Linked DNA regions of Bombyx mori. Each later gene encodes a partner of the first gene's protein in a complex. Links are inferred from orthologs where the notes say so. Each region holds a gene or a part of one and is shown in the gene's direction. Other genes may lie near its edges. The genes, in order: integrator complex subunit 1, integrator complex subunit 7, integrator complex subunit 4 and integrator complex subunit 9.

Evidence for each region.
Region 2: the proteins of integrator complex subunit 1 (region 1) and integrator complex subunit 7 are in contact, whole or in part, in a cryo-EM structure (PDB 8RC4), measured with the Homo sapiens proteins. The link is inferred for Bombyx mori from reciprocal best matches to the Homo sapiens genes INTS1 and INTS7. Residues at the interface, in NP_001073922.2 of Homo sapiens: Leu1378, Gln1381, Gln1382, Gly1385, Gln1386, Ala1389, His1429, Phe1430, Leu1431, Cys1433, Pro1434, Arg1437, Gln1438, Cys1440, Gln1441, Pro1476, Ala1479, Gln1480, Met1483, Leu1484, Gln1487, Arg1552, Pro1554, His1555, Leu1556, Glu1557, Glu1558, Pro1613, Ser1614, Gly1616; in NP_056249.1 of Homo sapiens: His150, Asp151, Leu187, Ala188, Thr189, Pro190, Val191, Lys194, Thr223, Ser224, Tyr225, Pro226, Ser227, Thr228, Asn262, Asp263, Pro264, Arg265, Lys266, Pro303, Tyr304, Gln349, Glu350, Cys352, Tyr353, His354, Asn355, Arg357, Ala360, Gln384.
Region 3: integrator complex subunit 1 (region 1) and integrator complex subunit 4 share a complex: the UniProt entries of both Homo sapiens proteins name them as parts of the integrator complex. The link is inferred for Bombyx mori from reciprocal best matches to the Homo sapiens genes INTS1 and INTS4.
Region 4: integrator complex subunit 1 (region 1) and integrator complex subunit 9 share a complex: the UniProt entries of both Homo sapiens proteins name them as parts of the integrator complex. The link is inferred for Bombyx mori from reciprocal best matches to the Homo sapiens genes INTS1 and INTS9.

Annotation. Positions count from the first base shown.
Region 1 is NC_085131.1:770,732-775,880, reverse strand, and holds part of integrator complex subunit 1, read left to right. Parts: coding exon 1-100; intron 101-269; coding exon 270-415; intron 416-979; coding exon 980-1,310; intron 1,311-1,751; coding exon 1,752-1,942; intron 1,943-2,484; coding exon 2,485-2,670; intron 2,671-3,207; coding exon 3,208-3,372; intron 3,373-4,240; coding exon 4,241-4,370; intron 4,371-4,657; coding exon 4,658-4,829; intron 4,830-4,927; coding exon 4,928-5,139; 3' UTR 5,140-5,149. UniProt on the Homo sapiens protein: Component of the integrator complex, a multiprotein complex that terminates RNA polymerase II (Pol II) transcription in the promoter-proximal region of genes.
Region 2 is NC_085129.1:14,680,748-14,685,398, forward strand, and holds part of integrator complex subunit 7, read left to right. Parts: intron 1-388; coding exon 389-587; intron 588-2,368; coding exon 2,369-2,583; intron 2,584-3,600; coding exon 3,601-3,679; intron 3,680-4,651. UniProt on the Homo sapiens protein: Component of the integrator complex, a multiprotein complex that terminates RNA polymerase II (Pol II) transcription in the promoter-proximal region of genes.
Region 3 is NC_085121.1:12,651,366-12,657,065, reverse strand, and holds part of integrator complex subunit 4, read left to right. Parts: coding exon 1-78; intron 79-2,369; coding exon 2,370-2,562; intron 2,563-3,331; coding exon 3,332-3,506; intron 3,507-3,823; coding exon 3,824-4,029; intron 4,030-4,744; coding exon 4,745-4,867; intron 4,868-5,700. UniProt on the Homo sapiens protein: Component of the integrator complex, a multiprotein complex that terminates RNA polymerase II (Pol II) transcription in the promoter-proximal region of genes.
Region 4 is NC_085111.1:140,659-146,819, reverse strand, and holds the start of integrator complex subunit 9, read left to right. Parts: upstream 1-2,267; 5' UTR 2,268-2,558; coding exon 2,559-2,567; intron 2,568-3,260; coding exon 3,261-3,452; intron 3,453-4,069; coding exon 4,070-4,272; intron 4,273-4,462; coding exon 4,463-5,331; intron 5,332-6,161. UniProt on the Homo sapiens protein: Component of the integrator complex, a multiprotein complex that terminates RNA polymerase II (Pol II) transcription in the promoter-proximal region of genes.

The DNA of each region.
Region 1 (5,149 bases):
TGCTCCGTTGTTCTCGAACTCCGGTCGAGGCTGCGGCCTGCTGCTGGACTGGCTCTCGGAGCTCCAGCAAGAGACCCTCGGGCCCGATCCACATAAGCAGGTAAACCTACACATATTGGTATAGCGGCTGACGTACGTGCCGCTGCGTCCTCCGTCGGCATTAAACCATTCAATGAGGCTTGGATAATATTATTGAAAATTATTATACATGTGATAAATTCAAATTAAAAGACTTCTATGTAAATATATATGTAAATTGTTTAACTCAGATGCAGCTGATGTTCCGCGCGGGAGGGGGGGCCGCGGGGGGCAGCGTCGGCGGCAGCTGGCGCCCCCTGCTGGTGACGCTGTTGGCGCACCGGGCCTCCTGGCGCACCCTGCACACCTGCCTCACCATGCTGCTCGACCACCCAGGGTATGCGGCTGCACTCGCTGCGACCCTCGCTAACTATTCAATCACCAAAACAATAATTAAAGACCTTATTGCTAAGGCAAACTCTTCCCATTATGTAGAGGAAGAATTGCAGACAAAAAAGATGCTGGTGTTCGGTATATAAAATATCAACAATAGCTACAAGTCAAATCTAAAAGTGTACAATTCCCAAAAATATTCGAAATTGAGTTAATATGCGGAATCATTTGGTATCACCAGTATTTTTCTCATAAATACTGTCAAAAGAGCGTAGTTTAGTTTTAGTTTTATTTTTTTTAGTTTACCTATATTTTGACTATTAACAAAATTAATACATAATTTTATCTTACTTTAAAAGACAGATAGTGTAACTGGTAAAAACTAAAAAATAAATGTTGCAAAGATGATTAATATTAAAAATATAATATGTTAAACCTATAAAACACTCTCCTGTAAAATTTAGCAAGTTTTAATGCGAGAAGACGATATTAACAATAATGTGCAGTATATAGTTTAGTTGTGAGTAGGTTCAGATATGTATATGTTTGTGGTACTGTGTGTGCGCAGGGACTGGGCGCCGGGCTCCGTGCTGAACCTGCTGGAGACGCTGTGCAGCTCGCCGCGGCTGTGCCAGGGCCGGGACAAGGCCGCGCCCAAGCACCACCAGCCGCCCGACGCGCTGCGCCTCACGCACCGCCAGGTCGGCGTGCTGGTGGGCTACATCGTCAGCGAGGGGGTGCGCGCCGAGCGGGGCGGCGGGGAGGCGGCGCTGCGCCGGCGCGTGGAGGCGCGCCTGCCGCTGCTGCTGCGCTGCTGCGCCACGCCCCCCGCGCTGCTGGCCGCCGCCCGCGCCGCCGCGCACCACCACCCAGTGCTGCTGCTCATGCTCTATCTCAAGGTGCTCAACCTGTACCTATGTAACGGATTTTTTCAAAGTAGTGAAGTCATCGTGGCCTAAAGAATAAGACGTCCGGTGCAATCGTGTTGAGCGATGCACCGGTGTTCGAATCTCAGGCGGGTACCAATTTTTCTAATCAAATACTTACTTAACAAATGTTCACGATTGACTTCCACGGTGAAGGAAACGTATTACCGCTTCACGGCAGAAATAGGCAGGGCGGGTTCGTCGTGCGTCCATTATTTTCTGTTACTCATTTATTCTATAATTAATTTGGGAAACAAATGATAAAGTTAGGCTTAACAAAGAACAAACAAGTTTCAACCTTCAACAACATAATATAAAATCAAATAACTGGCTTACCATTACAAATAAGTATTTGTCGATAGAAAATCATGCTTTTATGACGTCATTGAAATGTTTAATAATCATTGAGTGTAGGTTCCGAAGACAGCCGAGCTGCTGCGTCGCGCGGAGTCTCGCGGCGGGCGGGGGCCGGGCGGCGGGTTGGGGGGCGGGGCGGGCGCGGGCGCGGCGCGATGCACGCCCAGCGCCACGGACCAGCCCACGCACACGCTGCTCACCGCCATCACCGCGCCGCACCACGCGCACACCAAGGAACACACGCAGAAGTATTATAACCGTACTAACGCTCTCTCGTGTCTCTGAGAGACATGCGGACTTACAGAAGTTAAATTAGAAATCTTGAAATAAAATTTAATCTGTGAGCTTAATCCGTTCACATGCGCCGTTGGTAGTAAACCGGGCTCAAAGCGGCGCCCCGCACAACTGAGCATTCGCAACATCACAAACTGGGACGAGTAATGCTAGTAGTGTCTGTGTTTTATACTAACATGGCAGATAATCAGTCAGGCCAGAGGGTCTGTCTGTAAGGTGTGAAACAGCTTTTTTTTATTGCTTAGATGGGTGGACGAGTCCACAGCCCACCTGGTCTTAAGTGGTTACTAGAGTCCATAGACATCTACAATGTAAATGCGCCACCCACCTTGAGCTATGAGTTCTAAGGTCTCAAGTATACTTACGACGGCTGCCCCACCCTTCAAACCGAAACGCATTACTGCTTCACGGCAGAAATAGGCGAGGTGGTGGTACCTACCCGCGCAGACACAAAAGAGGTCCTACCACCAGTAAACTAACTTGCGTTGGTTCCCAGGCTATGGCGCATGGAGGCCGACATCCGCTCAATGTGGGCGCGCGTGGAGGGTGCGGGAGCTAGAGCCTTGCCCCTGGCCGGAGCCCTACTGCGCGGGGCCGGCGCCCTGCACGCAAAGCAACATCAGTACCTACTCTCCGCACTCGAAGTGTTGCCAGACTCGGAGATATTTGCACCCGCTGTGAGGTATATGATCTGTGTAATTAGGGTTGCTATTTTTAAAACAAATATTTTTATTTAACAAACACCCCTCTAGTTGAATACCAGCCTTGTTAGATATAAAGTCAATTAAAAATAAAAAGTTGATGAGAACATGGAGTAGAAACTCCAAGCTATAATTAAATAAAGTTTTCAAACAAAGACAAACAGAATTTATTTGTAAACTTTTTCTTTCACATTTATCATACTGTGAAACGGTTTTTTTTTTTTTTTTTAAATTCAATACCGCAAATACTGATGATGTTGCCGAAGACAGAGCGCAGTGAAGGAGAAAAATAAGGGAACCTGATCCCCTACTTCTCTGTGGAAGGAACAGCTAGAAAAAGAAACAGATAAATAGTTTGATTTATTTTAATTGTAGGTAATAAATAAAGGCACAATTTCTCGTACGTTATTATTACTTAGGTCATGTTGTGTGATACTCCAGTGTAAATATAGGGCCCATATTAATTATATACTACATATTTTTTTAACAGTGTGATTGCAGTAACGTATAATTTACAGCGAGGAGATCCACAGCATCCTGGAGTGCTTCGTGCAGATGGTCCGTCAGACGGAGGGCGGGTCGAGCGCGCTGAGCCACCGCGTGGCCGCCCTGCTGCGCCGCTACCTGGCCTGCCGCCCGCCGCGCGCCGCCCTGCTGCTGCACCAGCACCGCGACGCCATCGCGTGAGTCGCCGCCCACACACACGTCACCACCTACATACCGCATACAGCCGGCCATTCAAAAATACATGTGTGCCATTCACACGTGGTAGAAGTGAAACCTTAAAAAATTCAAATACAATTATTATCCTAAATGTCTAAGTATATGTAAAATTTTGTCATTAGTAAATAATTGTAAATCATCTGTTATATAGTATGAGGTATAATTGTAAATTATCTGTTATACAGTATGAGGTAGCGCCCTCTGTGAATTGATATTTTAACTTCACGTATAATCCTAAATTTAAATTCACTACAAGAGGTTTCATAAACACGTTAGTATTAAAAAAGGGTGCGTGTACTTATGTACGCGCGTAAGAAGTTATACTTTATTTTTATAATTTTTTTATTTAAGTTTTAATCAATTTGAAAAAAAATCGATTAAACAACATCCTCAAACACGCATATTGGACATCATCCCTTTTCTTGACATCGTATAAATTCGGTAATTCTCTGTATGCTTCAGAAAGTTCACCTGCGGCTATATTCAGACCCGCCGAGTTACGTCGGTCGTATTGTAATGAGCGATTTAGTGGGCAACTTCATTTCTGTTAATTTTGTGTCACGGTGCGCGCGCATCGGTAAATTTCACTCTCATAAATTTTCATAACGCGTCTAAAGAAGTATAACTTCAAAAATCTCATAGATGGCGCTGTATTAAAAAAACACTACACTGAGAACGTGTGTTCTATCTCATTCTCTCGCCGGCTGAATCCTATACGTTTATGTGTTTGTGTTTCTATGGACTTATTTTTTCGTTTCATTGAGTTTGAAATCATAACGGTTCTAAAGAAGTTTGACTTCAATTAATGAAACGTACTTGTTGTGACAGCTCGTCCCCCGCCCTGAGCGGCGTGTCGGAGGGCGAGGGAGGGAGCGGCAGCTGGAGTCCTCCTCCGCACGCCGTGCGCGCGCTGCAGCGCCGCTCCGACCCGCCCGACACGCTGCACTGGCTGGTGCAGGTAACCGTCGCACTATATGCTAGACAGCTCACACCCCACTGCAAATATTGCGGTGCTTCAAACTAGACTACCCAACTAATTTGAGTCTAAAATAGATCTAATTATACTTTTTATTGCCTTTGTAAGCATACGGCCCACCGGGTAGTAAATGGTTACCGTCGCTCATGGACATCAGCAATGCCAGGAGTACAGCCAAGTCGCTGCCTACCTTTACTCATAAACTAATTCGAGAAGTCAAAATTGATATGTCAAGAAGCAACAAATGTCTGTAGAGTGTTGTTGTGCAGGAGGTGGAGGCGTGGGGCGCGCGGCGTGGCGGGGGGTGGGGCGGCGCGGAGAGCGCGGGGGGCGTGCTGCGCGCCGTGGCGCCGCTGGCCGCGCACGCGCACGCGCCGCTGCGGCTGGCCGCGCTGTCGCTGCTCGCCAGGCTGCTGCCGGCCGCGCCCGACCCCGCCCCGGGTGCGTAGCGTCGCCGTACCACACGATACTGTTCTGTGCTTCAGAACAAATGTCGTGTCCGCCAAAGAGTTGAAATCAAACGTCCATTTTAATTTCAGCCTTCGAAGCAATAATGGAGTGTCTGGAATGTGACCAAGCGGAAATAGCGCAGTCTGCCCTGGAGAAGCTCCCGGAGCTGGTGGTGGGCATGCAGGAGTACGCCGCCGCGCTGCTGGCCGCCGTCTTCGACCTGGGAGTCCGCGGGAGACTCAACGTGGAGACGCACCTCGCCAAGACCATTCAGACGCTGAACCTTCACCGGGCCTGCTAATATATTATAT
Region 2 (4,651 bases), on another chromosome or scaffold:
GACTAGACACATCGCGGGTGTCTTCCTCTCTCTCTATCTCTCTCATTTATATCTGTTTTTTCTGGTTAATGGATGAGGGGTTCCATTCCTGAACTCTGGTAAACCTTGGTTTAACTAAGAAGTATAATGTTGGTAAAAAATGTATACCATATTAATAATAATAATAAATTGAGATGGGCGGATCGGAAAATCAATAAAAGTTACTGAGATGGTCAAAATACAAAATTACGTTAAGACACTGTTGCCACAAGCGTCACGAGAAAGTACACCGTATTATTCACGCGTTAATGAATATTTTTAATCGTCTTTAATTCCGCGGAGTGTCCTATTACTGTCTGCCGTTACGCGTTCTCGTACTGCACAATAAGACCCTGAGCCGGCGCACCAGCTCGCAGCACACGTACACGCAGCTGTCGCAGCTGCTGGACTCCATCGCCAGCAGCCAGCCGGAGCGCGAGCTCACGCTGCCGGAGCCGCGGGCCACCAGCCTAGACGAGGCCGTGGCGCTGTCTCCCAGCAAGGCCATCGCGGCCATAGCGAGCAAGCTTGCCGAATTCCCCATGACCACACCCGGGATCACACACAGGGTAGGCACTTACTCTTTCGGACACTCCTAGGTGGCCCCAACATTGGGGGTATTGTATCGTCTGCCACTGTTGGAGCAGACTTGGGTTCAATCTCCACCTCTAGCGAGCGTTCATGTCACGAATACGTTTACCTGCTTTTTTGTGTGGGCGTTGAATATAATATCAATTTATTTAAATGTATATTTGTATATCTTTGAGTCACTGAATACAATTACACATACAAAAATTAAATTAAGGAATTTACTGGTGTGAGGACGTCTTGTGAGTCCGCACGGGTAGGTACCACCGCCCTGCCTATTTCTGCCGTGAAGCAGTAATGCGTTTCCGCTTGAACAGTGAAACAGCCGTTGTACTGTAAAAACGGAGAACTTAGAACTCATGTCTCGAGGTGGGTGGGCGGCATTTACGTTGTAGATGTCCTATCTCACCCATTTAAGCAATAAAAAAAGAGGTGTCAGCTTAGATTGGCTCCGCCTGTGTCCTCTAAGGAGTGTAGTGGGAGGGAGCAACGGGCAATTACTGGTAGTCGAAAGTATTGCACGCACGGGTTGAGAACAGACCCTGCCTATTTCTGCTACGAAGCGGCTATGTTCGAAGAAAGGATTAGCTTATACCCGTACACGCATATGGTGGTAGATACAATCACGTCCTTACGGATCCATCAGATCCAATAACCTTTGCATTAGACGCCTTCAGCTCTAACGCTAAAGGCTAACTTAAGGACTCCTGTAACCGTACTCGTCGAACTCGACAAAGACAAGAGTTCGACGTGCAACTTAATTCATACATCAGTCCGCTGAACTTCTCGCCGGATCTTTTAAGCGAGTCGCGATTCCGATCCGGTAGTAGATTCATTCGCGAAACAGTTGTTCTTGAGTTGTTAGGTCTCCTTCGGAGGTGCTCGGGCAGCTGTTAGCAATTCCTACCCCTCCTGGCTGAGCCTATGCTCACCCACCTGTCCTGGTGAAACTGGAAAGGCCTCCGGGCCACCAGTAGTACTTCAATCATAAAAAAAGATATAGTAAGGCACTGCGCTTGCTAGGGGCAGTGTTGACAACCTATTTCAGGGCGAGCCCCGTGAGCACGGCCACAAGTCGAAGGTGAAGACAGAGGGTACTGGCAGACTTGTAGGCACGGTTATAATTGTAGACATGAGTGGATGAAGGGGATATGATACAATTTATTAATTTTTAGTAAACGGGCAAAAAACTTTTGTTACTTGTACTTTTTCTTCGTACATAACTCCTTCATCACATGCAATTTCTAAAAATAGCCTTAAACCCGGATATTAAGGTCTAATATGGTTTATCGGCACATAATACCTTCGTTCAATGTAAAAACTTAAAAATCTTAAAAATGGTACTTAACCCCTTCATCCACTCATGTCTTCAATTGTAATCACCAAATCGGGACATACCCCTGGGCTCTGTCGTGTCACTCACCTTGTTTTCTTTCCTACCTATTCTAATAGCCTTGAGAGGCTATTTCAGCTTCTCCTTGACGTGTAGATGAGCTCACGGGGCTCAAACCGGAGTGTTGCTAACACTCGCCCTAGAAAGAGCAGTGCTTCGCGAAATCTACCACCGGATCGGAAACGCGATCCACTGAGAAGATTCGGCGAGAAACTCAGGGGGCTGTGTCTGTGGGTTAATTTACTCGTCGAGCTCTTCGTCACAAGCGACGGCTTCGACGAGGACGGTGACCGGTGCTTAAGGTACCTAAAAGCACCGTTAGTGGATCGGGAGGATCCGTAATGATCACTGACCGAGGCGAGTGTGCAGCACGCGGAGGCGGTGGTGTGCGCAGTGCGGGCGGCGGGCGCGGGCGCGGTGTGGTCCCGGGGTGCGTGGTCGGGGCGCGGCACGGGCGCCGTGTGCCGCGTGTCCGTGTCGCCGGCGTGGCGGCCCGCGCCCGCGGACCACGCCGCCGCGCTGCCGCTGTCCCACCGCCTGGCGCTCAAGCTGGAGGGCGTCATACTGCCCGCGCGCCCGCTCGCGTGAGTCCGCGCATCTACATAACTACATAAACACAAGGGGGGGGATGTAGAACGGAAACTTACACATAAATGTAACTCCCTGTACGACTTGTTCCCGCGTTTATCAAATCGTCACTGTCAAACCAAAATCTGCTATGTGCCAAAACTCTGTTTTGTATTAACGAGTAAAAACATTTTCGTATACAATTTTATATGAAGGTGAATTTTTAAGAACTATATCAATTAAAAGCTATAGATAAATATTAAAGCTATAGACATATAACAGTTTTTTTATACGGTAGATAGGGCCGTGAACTATACGAAAAGTTCAAAAAGTAAAAATCTCTAAAAGTTCACATAGCAGATTTTGGTTTGACAACGACGATATGTCACATGTTCGTTCACGCGTTTAAAACACTCACAGTAATGTAGTGACATTAACAAATAATTCAATGTTAACAAAAATGCGAGATTAAACAGTAAAACGGTTTAAATTAGGTATATCAACGTCTAACAAAAACCGCAGACAGTGCTAGGAACCGGCGCGGAAGCTTGCAGCGTAGTTATTTATCTGTCTGTTTGTTTGTTTGCCGACACCCCCGAAATTACTGAACGTGTTTGCTTTTTTTTTTTTTTTTTTTCTTTATTGCGCCTGTAGGAAGACGACTTTATTGGTGGTAGGACCTCTTGTGAGTCCGCACGGTCGGTGGTGGTCCACCTTGCCTATTTCTGCCGCGAAACAGTAATGCGTTTCGGTTTGAAGGGTGGGGCCGCCGTTGTAACTATATTGAGACCTTAGAACTTATATCTCAAGGTGGGTGGCGCATTTACGATGTGGTTGTCTATGGGCTTCAATAACTACTTAACACCAGGGGCTGTGAGCTCGTCCACACATCTAAAAGTTTACTCCATTCAAATAGCTGAAAAAGTTTTTATGTCGTGTTTTTTTTTAAATTTAAACTGCATGTTTCTCCTGGAAAGTTTCAAGAATATCGCTTAAACCAAATAGCTGTTTACCCGTCGATATGTATCTCACAGCAAACGTCAGCAGCAGCGACAAGTTAAAGGCGTCCAAATCACGGTGACCGCCACCCAGCATCCGAGGACCAACGAGAAGGTACTGATTACATTGTTATACCACGAATTAATTCCTAAGGTCCACTCGGATAGAGGCTCTACTGAGGTCTTCGAGCATTGTAGATCACCTAAGGTTTCAGCCATAATTACAATATCGTCGACAACCCGAAGGGGAGTTGTATGTTGATGCCTAGCCCGTTCCAGTCCAGAACTTTGAAAGCATTCTCCAATGCGGTGGTAAATGGTTTCGGAAAAACAACATCTCTCTGCCTCTCCGCTGCAGAAGGATGGGTTCCAATGCCCCGTCCTGTAATCGGACTGACATAGTAGCGTATTCATACAAACACTTCAACACTTCGATATACTGGTAATCAATTTGGCACCGTTGGAGAGACTGCAACGCGGCCCAGGTCTTAATCGAATCAAAGGCTTTCTCGTACTCCACAAATACTAAGCGTAGCGTGGATCCGGTCATCGTTCTCGCCGAACCTGTCGGTTGCGACGAAGGGCTCGGCAAGTAAATTAATCCACAGACAGCCCACTGAGTTTCTCGCCGGATCTTCTCAGTGGGTCGCGTTTCCGATCCGGTGGTAGATTCTGCGAAGCACGGCTCTTGCTAGGGTTCGTGTTAGCAAAAACGTCAGGTTTGAGCCCCGTGAGCTCACCTACTAGCCCGGTGACGGTGATATGGTTTCTCAAAACCATCAGCTTAGGTATGAAAAAAAAATGCGTGGGTAGGCCTCCCACAAGATGGACAAAGGAGCTATTGAGGTTCGCGGAGATCCGCTGGAAGCAAGCAGTGCATAACCAGTCGTGGCGAGGTTTGGGGGAAGCCTCTGTCCAGCAATGGACGTCTGTAGTCTAATAGTAGTAATTCCTAAGGAAGTGTATGTATTACGGTTCAGTTTACTGGGACACGCTTTGTGCCTCCATGAAGAGGTACTGTTACGAGATGGATCCAGGAGCTCTTTAAAAACAAAAGGAAACTGTGACTGACATTCAATTTATTTTA
Region 3 (5,700 bases), on another chromosome or scaffold:
TCTGTCCGATGACTATGAAATAGTAAGAGAAGTTGCCCTAAAGTTGATTTGGGTACTTGGAAATAAATACCCAGAAAAGTAAGTACTCTAATTTTTTTTTTTTTATTCTTTAATTTTAAATTTATTAGTTCACACACTAACTTGTAAAGCTATTATTACCTAAAGTTTGTAGAATAATAGATTGCACATTTGAATGCCCACCATCTTTAACACTAGATTTACCAGCCATTTAAATATACGTATTTCTACCATAACCAGTCAATATGACTGGTGTATAAAAAAATGCTTAACTGAGTTTCCAGTCTTTATTCACTCTTAAAAAATGGTAAAAAGAATTCAACAATATAAATTTTTATACAAAAATGGATTTATGGACATTTTCAAATAACAAAACACTTAATTTTTACAGTTTATCGCTCACAATTTCTACAGATGTAGATTTTGCTTTTTGTACACTTTCCGCATAGACTTTTCTTGCATTTATTGCAAATATTTGTAGTCTTATTGTTATTGCAATATCGTATTTGACACCATTTGCGCACAGAAACCGTGCCAGCGGTAGTTGATATATCAGCTTCGTGTAGTTTTTGCCTTGAAGTCTGATATTCTGAAGCAAGTTCTTCTGCTAATCGAAACAGAAAGTCTTTCCGTGAGATATTTTCCTGTTGTGTTTTTGTATAATATCCAGCTATTTATTCCGGCTAAATCTAAAATATTGAAAAACACTTGAAGTGGCCACCTTCTGCAACCAGACTTCACCGTATATTTTCGTGCCATTTGATCAGTCACATCGACGCCAAATTTAGTTTTATTATAAAACAATACAGTTTCAGGTATTTTTTAGCTGCTTTATCAATTTTGATGTTTTTATGTTTTGTACTTAGTAAAAGTACTTTTTTATTACCACATATTTTGTTTCTACATCAGACGCTAACCAAAATTTGATGCCAAATTTATGGGGTTTGTTTGGCATATACTAAGTAAATCTGCATCTGGCCTTCGTTGGAAAAAGTTGCTCATCCACAGTAATAGAAGCTCCCGGTTTGAAGCAATTTTGACTGTTTTCAATAAATTTATCCCAAACTGCTGAGACTAAAGCGAACTTGTCTGTTTGCAAACGTTGACTCCTCTGATTTCTTTTATCGAACCGAATGTATCGTAAAATATCTGTAAAATCTCGTCTACTCATAGTGCTAGAAAAAAATGATGGTCCCCATTTTTTATTCCACAAATATTGAAGTCTCAAAGTATTTCCTTCGTATGCCCCACGTGCGTACAATATTACAAGAAATGCCTTCAATTTTTCTTGCGTGATTATCCAGGTTTTCCCCAAAACTCGAGAGGCTTCTAGCTCTGTACAAATTTTCGTTTTGACATTTTTAGGGGCTAAGGATATGCAGGCTACTTGCTGAACAACATATATTTGAATATTTTTCAAATACTCATAAATGTTTATTACGTGTCACTGTATGGGTAAAGATGAATGATTACGTTTGGAGATCGCTTGGACTAAGTACTCGTAAAAAAATCGTATAGATACCGTAATCGCCTAAATCGGCTCGATAACGATAACGTAATGAACAAAAGAAGCATGGGCACTATTTGTATTTTCACGGTCTCATGATTCTCCCGAAATCATACATTTCTTCCTAGAAACATGCACCAGTCATTTTGACTGGTTCTGGTATAAATAGTTATAACAAAAAATATATTTGTTACTAACATTATATAAAGTAAAATTAAGTTCATAAAATGTATTCTCTACTTATACCTACAAAAGTTATAACATCAATTTGGAAAGCAAATATTTAATGTAGTAGTCATTTTGAATTGAAGTTGCACGACCAGTCAAAATGACTGGTCTGGTAAATCTAGTGTTAATTAAGCAATTGTAATAAAGTTAATATGTCGGCAACTTTTTTTTATTAAAAGTAAATAAGAATAAAAAATTTCAGTAAATAAATAAGTATATATAAAATATTTTAAAAGTCTGCCAGACTGTCGCTCCCTTCGAGAGCCACCAGGAGAGTTTATTTTTATAGTCAAAAAGTATGTAAAACAACACTCGTTTTTTTTTTTAAATAATGTTATTGACTTTCTTTGCAATAAAAGTCTTACATTGTTTACATGATTCATGATCACCATAACTTTTAAGTTCTATTTCAAACGTTTTTTAATGTTATTATTAATTGATTATAATTAAGTGAAATAATCTTAATCGTATATAGATTCGTATGTAAGTGATAATTGTTTAATCACAATTACAAACCCAACAATAAACAAAACAACAACAACAAAATATATAATGTGTGCCTCTCCAATACATCTCAGAACAATGAATTTGAGGATTTTTTTTTTGTTATTTTCAGTGTAATAACGTTACAAGATGACGAGACCACGATACGAATGGTCGATGACGCTTTTGTTCGCATATGTTCGGCCGTGAACGATCTATGCATGCAAGTGCGAGCGCTCGCCTGCACGCTGCTCGGCACCACGCGCGCCGTTTCCGATCGCTTCCTGTTGCAGACCCTCGATAAACAACTAATGAGTAACATGAAGGTGATTACGGAACCAACACTAAATATACCATTGAAATACACATTTAAATATGTTCAGACATTATATGGATTAGAAACGCACACAAAAACGCTTATAATATTCATGTAAAGAAAAACCTTTAAAGCTCTTTTAGTTTTTTAGATTTTTCTGAGCACGGAAGCACTCACCTGTCATTCCATGAAGTGACTTGTTCAGTTTTGCATCTATATCTATAAATCTATAGTGGCTTTTACGGATGTTCCGTTATAATTACTGAACCATATATTCGATTGACTTGAAACTTGGTATCCATGTAGAAAATACATGTACTTAATGGATAGGCTAATATTTATATGAGCGTTGGACTCCCTACACCAGTTGTGGGGGCGTTAATGATAAGAATCTTTTTGGAGGGTGAGAAATAATAATATTAATTTTAAATGCCTAGCGAAGCGGACGGGTACAGCTAGTAGTATAATAATACTGCTTAAAATATTAATTTAAATACAGATTAAGGGCTTTAAATGTTGTTTTCTTATTTATATTACAGAAAACGCAATTAAGTCTTTGATTGTACTCATTCATTCTGGCGTATTTGATATCATTATATTCATAATATCATTATATCGCGTGTCAATTCGACCACGTCTTAATGTGATTTATTTGTTAAAACACCAGGCATATGCGTGGCGTTTGTACCGTGATCATGGAAGCAGCCTTCCTTGGTCTCATTAGCTTTATCTCATATCTAATTCACATTTAATTATAGTGTAAATTGAATATAATACAGAAAAAGCGCACAGCACACGAGCGCGGCGCGGAGCTGGTCCGCAGCGGCGCGTGGGCGAGCGGGCGGCGCTGGGCGGACGACGCGCCCGGCGCGCTGGTGCCGTCCGCCGCCGTGCAGCTGCTGCCGGGCGGGGCGGCCGGCGCCTTTGTGCACGGACTCGAGGACGAACTCATGGGTCAGAGCATAGATAATACACATAATTTAGTTATAGATAAGCAACTCAAGCACTCAACAAAAATGTTTATGGGCGTCGGCCACTAGATGGCTACGCTTCGATTAGTTTTTCATTGCTCCTGTAGATGACAATAACATATTAAGCATCGCAGGCTTTATTTAAAAAAAAGTATATTTTCAGAAACCCCAAAGTGATAAAATTTAATCAATTTTTCTATAACAAATAAAGGCTTGTAAGATTTACAATATTTTTTATAATCGAATTTAATTATTGTTTTCAACGTAATAATTTGTTCTAATTGTTCTTTATGTTCCCAGAGGTGCGCACGGCAGCCGTCGAAGCATTGTGTCAACTCTCACTAGAAAACCCGGTGTTCGCGACCACCTCCCTCGACTTTTTGGTGGACATGTTCAATGACGAGATCGAGGAAGTGCGGCTGCGAGCCATCGACGCCCTCACGAGGATCTCGCATCATATCGTACTTAGAGAAGACCTACTGGAGACCATACTAGGAGCCTTGGAGGTCAGTCCCGGAGATACTAGAAGCTGATAATAGTCTATTTGTAATACAGTTGTAGGAGCAGCCGTAGTTAAGCTGCTTCAACTGGCTAGATTGTCTAGGCATTGACTCGGAAGATAGGTAGCACAGAGAAAATGAATATTGTTATGCCTTTTAGGTTACGTATATTGTATATAAGATTGGATTTATGTACAATATAGGTAAATTAGCACATAAGTAACTCTAAATAAACGCAAGTAAAGAAGCATCTCCGAACCTGTTCCGAACAAAAATAGCGTATGATTGGCCTAAAATCATAAGCGACAGCGATTTTACCAAAATTGAAAGGCGGTTGCCCAAGTAGTGGTATGAAGTGGCGGGTAAGTGAGTCGCCACACAGTCCTTGTGATGCTATGAAGCCCGCAAGTCACCCTCCTGCTTGGTTTGTTCAGGAAGAACTCATGCGCTCCGTTTTCATGGATGGTGGAGCAGTGATTAATACAACTGCGACTCTACGACATCTATTACCACTTTTCCCTGATGGCAGAGAGAGAGAGAGAGAGAGAGAGAAGGCGAGAGAAAGAGAGAGAGAAGGCGAGAGAAAGAGAGAGAATGAAAGTTATTTTCTAATTTTTTTCCTAAGTAACTAAACAGAAATCTGCCACCATCAAACTTCACCTCTTTCTACGAAAAAGGGCAATTTAGTTTTTACTGGAAAATAATAGAACTTTGGTTTTAGGATTATTCAATGGACGTCAGGGAAGGTCTACACAGACTGCTGGGCTCGTGTACAGTCGCGTCCAAAACATGCCTGGAGATGTGCATTGATAAAATTCTGGAGAATCTCAAAAGATATCCACAGGTATAGCTATTATTAAATTACTTGATAAGAGTACTAGGGTAATGTTTTGATTATAAACATCAATGTGAAAGAGATGTATGTTTTTGTAGTAGTTCCTTTTAGTGAATGACTGACTTGGCACAGTAGTTAATGCTGAGTGCTGGCTAGAATGTCTTGGGTTCAATTCCCACATCGGGCAAACATTCGTGTGATGGATATGTTTATGTGCCCTTTGTCTGGATGTGTAATATCTAAATATGTATGTATTTAAACGTATACATATAATTTGAGACATGATGGATGAAGGACATATGATAAACTTTGGCAACAAACTTTTGTTAATTGTACTTTTTTTTCGTACATAACTTCATCACATGCAATATCTAAAAATTGCCTTTAATGCCAGGGGTTTTAAGGTCTAATATATTTTATTGTCACATAACACCTTCATTCAATGTTAAAACTCAAAAATCTTAAAAATGGTACTTAACTCATAATCATCCACTCATGTTTTTAAGTATGTATTGTACAAGGTCGCGGTACACGAGGAATGGCGATGTCTTATGAAGCGCTCCACTACCCGAACTGATGACCACGACCACCCAAGAGTGCAAACGACTGAGAAAAAGAATTAGTTTTTTTTATTGCTTAAATGAGTGAACGAGCTCACAGCCCACCTGGTGTTAAGTTGTTACTGGAGCCCATAGACATCTACAACATAAATGCGCCACCCACCTTGAGATATAAGTTCTAAGGTCTCAAGTATAGTTACAACGGCTGCCCCACCCTTCAAACCGAAACGCATTACTGCTTCACGGCAGAAATAGACGGGGTGGTAGTGCCTACCCGTGCGG
Region 4 (6,161 bases), on another chromosome or scaffold:
ATTGTGTTGATATGCCTTTTTTGTTATCGATGTGCTTCAGCTAAAAAGTAAAGAGAAAGCAGCGCTTGTGTATTGTTCGGATTACAGCAATGAAGTGGCGTCAGTCTGTGCTAACACTGCGAACTTGTCTGCTCTGTCGTCGTCTGAGGTTCACTTTGCCAAATTAAGAATCCGTATAATTAGTTTGCACCACTGAAGTATGAAACCTATCTATGGTTTGCACATGCATTTTTATAATGATCTGCTCTATTTGATTTGTAAGGCAGACAAGGCTATTGTCCATCAGGTAGAGAGCTGTGACGTTCTCTGATGACAACGGCGGTAAAGCAGCTGCGCACCGCTTTTTCCTGTACTAAATAGTCAGCGAAAGGTCCATAGAACATGTAGATGTAGTGAATTGTATTGGCATTCGTCACATTTGTTTTAATTTAATGCGGAATTATTTTCCTTATCATGAGGACTATATCTATATATATATAAAAATGAATTGCTGTTCGTTAGTCTCGCTAAAAGTCGAGAACGGCTGGACCGATTTGGTTAATTTTGGTCTTGAATTATTTGTGGAAGTCCAGAATTATTTGTGGAAGTCCAAGGTTTAAAAGGTAGATAAATATGAGAATGTTCGGAATTAAATAAAAATAAAAATTTTTGATGTGTCCCGCGTCGGACGGATTCCTTTTATTTGTTTTAAGTTTATTTTATACAAAAGTTTAGGTCTTTTATTTCTCGATTGAGGCACTACGAAGTCTGCCGGGTCAGCTAGTTATAATATAAAACCACGGATACCATATCACCACACGGATATAAATAAAATAAAATTCTTTTATAAACCGAATGCATGTATGTGTGTATGTACGTAGGCCTTTGACTGTATTCCTAACCTAGGTTTTTATGTTTAATAAACTCCGCATCCATTCACGGACCGGTTATTATTATTCGACTCGACTGTGTTATGTACTTACCTAGCGGTTGTACAGAGTTGTGTTTTTTTTATTGCTTGGATGGGTGGACGAGCTCACAGCCCACCTGGTGTTAAGTGGTTACTGGAGCCCATAGACATCTACAACGTAAATGCGCCACCAACCTTGAGATATAAGTTCTAAGGGTCTCAGTATAGTTACAACGGCTGCCCCACCCTTCAAACCGAAACGCATTACTGCTTCACGACTGAAATAGGCAGGGCGGTGGCACCGCCCGCGCGGACACACAAGAGGTCCTACCACCAGTAATTATGCAAATTATAATTTTGCGGGTTTGATTTTTATTACACGATGTTATTCCTTCACCGTGGAAGTCAATCGTAAACATTTGTTGAGTACGTATTTCATTAGAAAAATTGGTACCCGCCTGAGATTCGAACACTGGTGCATCGCTCAACACGAATGCACCGGACGTCTTATCGCTTAGGCCACGACGACTATTCTTACACTTACACTGTATACATATAAAATATATAATTACCTACAACAACGTAACAAATGTTGTGTACAATAATAGCATAACGGACTTGGATATGACTTCCCACCAACATAATTTATAATCTGAATTGACAAGTAGATAATCTAATTTTTATCACACTAAACTTGACTGGAATAACACTAGGTATATCTGCTATACAGTACAGTATAATAATAACAATGTATTTCATGGTTCATAATATATTACTTACCAAAGGTTTTACAAATAGCTTAATAAATAGACATACCCGATCCTGTGGACCGAACGGTAACAAGTCGACGTCGCTCTAAACACGTCATTACGGATCCTCCCGATTCATTATCGGTACTTTTAAGTACACACCTCAAGCACCGGTCACCGTCCTCGCCGAACCCGTCGCTTGTGACGAAGGGCTCGACGAGTAAATTAACCCATAGACATAGCACACTGAGTTTCTCTGCTCTTGCTAGGGCCAGTGTTAGCAATACTTCCGGTTTGAGCACCGTGAGTTCACCTACACGTTAGGGCGAAGCTGAAATAGCCTCTCACGGCTATCAGCATAGGTAGGAAAAAAAATGGACTAGAGAGTGATACGGCTAACTCTTTTTCCCGAGGAATGCAAATGCAACGAGTTTCATTGTTTCCGAATAACAAATTCAACGAATATGGAACCGTAGTACAAATTTTGTTAATTAATGAATTACATTTAATATCGTTTGTTTCATTTTACTTTTACACAACAGATATAACTCGTTTGTTACAAATATTTAGTTGTATGTATTGAATATGCTCCCTTTGCCTGTCGATTAAAACAATCAAATGCTTATCTGACAGATAATATCTGTAGGTAGGTAACTAGAACCTACCTACCTACATAATATAAATATATTTTGTTTAGCTATTTTGAAAGTACTTATGTACCTAATATTCATTTATTTCAATTAATGATGTTGTACAGTTATGTATTATCTATGCAATACACTGAATAAACGGTTCATCAAACCTAAGCAAAAATAATATTGAAGCCGGACAAATTGATAAAGCAGTTACTAATACATAAACATACTTTAGTAATAAACAATATTCGTCCGCAAATTCGAAATATAATATATAAACTAATAATGAAGCTTGTAAGTATGCAATATCTTCACTAATTTATTCAAAACACTTGAAAAATATGTAAGAGTTGAACTTGAAACACAAAATACAAAAATAATATTAGAATTCATACTATTAGAAGATTGTGTTAGAATTAAACCTGCAGGACGCGAAAACAAACCAAATTGCAGTGGAGTGCTCCATTTGCAAGTAGTTTATTAATATAGTAAATTATTTTACAAGAACAGCCCATACGTTTTTACTGTAATGATATCCTGGGTAGAGAGGCAGTCTCCCACATCCCCACAATTTTTACATACAATTTTGTTTAAGTGATTATTTCATAGCTTTTTGGGATATGAACCTAATACTAGAGACTAAAGGCACCACAAGATGAATGATACCTCTAAGAATTTGTCCCTCTCTTCTATTGAAGTATTGATTGCTTGGATCCAATGACTAACCAGTTAAATCGGAATGCATGATTGTGTCTGAACAGAAATAAGTAGAATGGTTTGAAATTGTCATAAATCATTCTATGTGTACTCTAAGATCACAGCTGTTATACAGGTACTATAGGGACAGAAAAATAGGTGTGGCTTTAAAATACCAGGATGGCTCCACTATTCTGGCATATCTGTTTAATTGAGCATTACCATATGGACCCCTGACTTATAAATAATATAACCAGTGCTTACCTTAAACAATGTTTGATTTGATTACAGTATTGTTTAAGCAATGATGCAGCGAAGCCTTGCTTTGTGTTGTCTTTCAAAGAGCTCCTCATAATGTTGGATTGTGGGCTGTCATCCCACTCTGTGCTCAACTTCCTACCGCTGCCTCCAGTGCCTAGCACTCGACTCGCATCCCTGCCTAATTACACACCACCACATCACAATGATCCACTCTTGGAAGGGGTATAAAAATTAAGCTTATTACATTTCTTATTATCATTATTTATATATCAGTACCTAGGTATAAAGTGGTTACTGGAGTCTCTGGTCATGACAACATTATTACCACCACCCACCTTGAAACATGAAGTTGAATTCTCAGTTGTATTGTATGATGGTTGTTCCATTCTTCAAACAAGAGGCAATCACAGCAAAAACAGACAGGATACTGAATCCACCACTAAATATGGTATAGTCAGTATGCTGCTTTAATACTCACAGAATGCTTATTCTCTGGTGAATCCATTAGGTACAGTCTTTAAGCAAAAAAACACATTTCATCAATTAATTATTTTATATACAAACATTAAATTAATAAAAAACTCAAAACTCCTCATTAAAATAATTTTTAAACTTATCCAACTGTATCTCTCAGTTACATTACACGTACCTTCCAAACTGCATTCAACAGATTTCTGATATAAAAAATCAAAGGGACTCATATTTTAAATCTGACTCCAATGCTATGATTAAAAACCCTATGTCAAATAAGTAATAACATGTTAAATTTAATGATATTTCTTTATAATAAAAACAGAATCAATATCAGGTGATATTTAAACTAACCCATCTCATTACAGGAACTAAAGGAGTGTTGCGGCAGAGTGTTTGTTGATAGCATGCCTGAGTTTTGTCCGCCTCTCGATAAAGTAGTCGATTTTTCTCAGCTAGATGTAATTTTAATCTCAAATTACACTTGCATGCTGGCCCTGCCTTTTATAACAGAAGATACAGGTTTCAAGGGCCAAGTGTATGCCACTGAACCTACTCTACAAATAGGAAGGTATTCATTCTCTATTCTTTTTATGCCTTCAAAAGTATAATGATAAAAAATATACATTTCTGTATTGTATATATGGTTATAGAGTATATAACAACACCATATTATTGTAAACAGAATATGCTTATTGAAAGTACAGTATCAGAATGGATTGAAGCAGCAGAAAGATGTAATAAAGATAATATATTTGGAGGTTCTACCTGGAGGAGCTGTCGGAGTGGGTGTGCTCAAGCGGGTCGGGGTCGGGCTCGGCCAAGCGTTGGAAGGAGGCGGTGCACGTGCTGCCCGCCCCCCTCGCCGACGTGGTGCGGCCCCGCGCGTGGCGCCGCCTGCTCGCCCCGCACCACGTCGCCCGCGCCCTCGCGCGCGTCCGCGTGGTCGGCTACGACGAGAAGGTCGACCTGTACGGCGCGCTCGACGCCACCGCCGTCAGCTCCGGCTTCTGTCTGGGCTCCGCCAACTGGGTGCTGCGCTCCGCCCACGAGAAGGTCGCCTACGTGAGCGGCTCCAGCACGCTCACCACGCACCCGCGCCCCATCAACCAGGCGGCTCTGCGGGGCGCCGACCTGCTGGTGCTGGCCGCGCTCACGCAGACGCCGGCGCACAACCCGGACCACATGCTGGGCGACCTGTGCGTGCACGCCACCGTCACGCTGCGCGCCGGCGGCTCCGTGCTGTGCCCCGTGTACCCCAGCGGCGTGCTGTACGACCTGCTGGAGTGCCTGTCGGCGCACCTGGACACGGCGGGGCTGGCGCACGTGCCGCTGTACGTGGTGTCGCCGGCGGCCGAGGCGTCGCTGGCCTACAGCAACATCCTGGCGGAGTGGGTGTCGGCGGGCAAGCAGGCGCGCGTGTACCTGCCCGAGGAGCCGTTCCCGCACGCGGCGCTGGTGCGCGCGGGGCGGCTGCGGCACGCGCGGGACCTGCACGACGACTCCTTCAGCGCAGACTTCCGCCAGCCCTGCGTCGTCTTCTGCGGACACCCCAGCCTGCGCTTCGGCGCCGCCGTGCACCTCGTCGAGCTGTGGGCCTGCAACCCGCTGCACGCCATCATATTCACAGGTACGCAGCCCGCTCTCCCGGCTCGATTATGGTTTAGGGGACAATTCCAACTGGTCGCGGACGAGTAAATGAGCACATGGGCTCTACCAGAAAGAATGTGCCAACACTAGTCCTAGCAATAGTAGTGTTTCGCAGAATCTACCACCGGGTCGGAATCGCAACCCAAGAAGTTGAAGGTACTCAATCTACCGCTGAGTTAGTAAACCTGGTAAGTGGGCGCCGCGCGAACTGAACGATCGTTCGCGCGACCAACGCGTCTAGGTGCCAAGGTACTTCTCTGTGTAGAAACGGAAGGGATTTTGAACCGCATTGTCACTTACAATGAAAAATAAATTCTTTTTAATAATCGTAAGCCGTCGCCCTGTTAGTTAGACCCTGCTTTAACCTTGGCGTTGCCACAAACGAAAACACCCCTACAAGACGATTAGGGGAGGAGAGGGTTGGAAGTTTTTCAGTCATTAATTTGGTAGCTAAACACAACACAGCACAATTTCCGACACTTACCAACCAGCCTTCCTGAAGAGTGGTACCTCCGTCCTAAGAACTGTCATTCGTTTTCGTTTACTACTTAACGTCAAGAGAATATTTCTAAATTGTTCTAAGACAACAAACGTGATTGGTGTGCTCAATATTCCTCTTAGCTCGATTACCCTAATCGCCCCTACGATGTCTGACGATGGTGTTAATAATTGTCTTCTCCGACAAATAATAAAATGACTTTATTTTTCTGTAAAGTAGCCGGCAATTTTTTTTATTGCCCTTTTAGGCAGACGAGCATACCGCCCACCTGATGGTGAGTGGTTACAGTCGCCCATGGACTTCAGCAATGC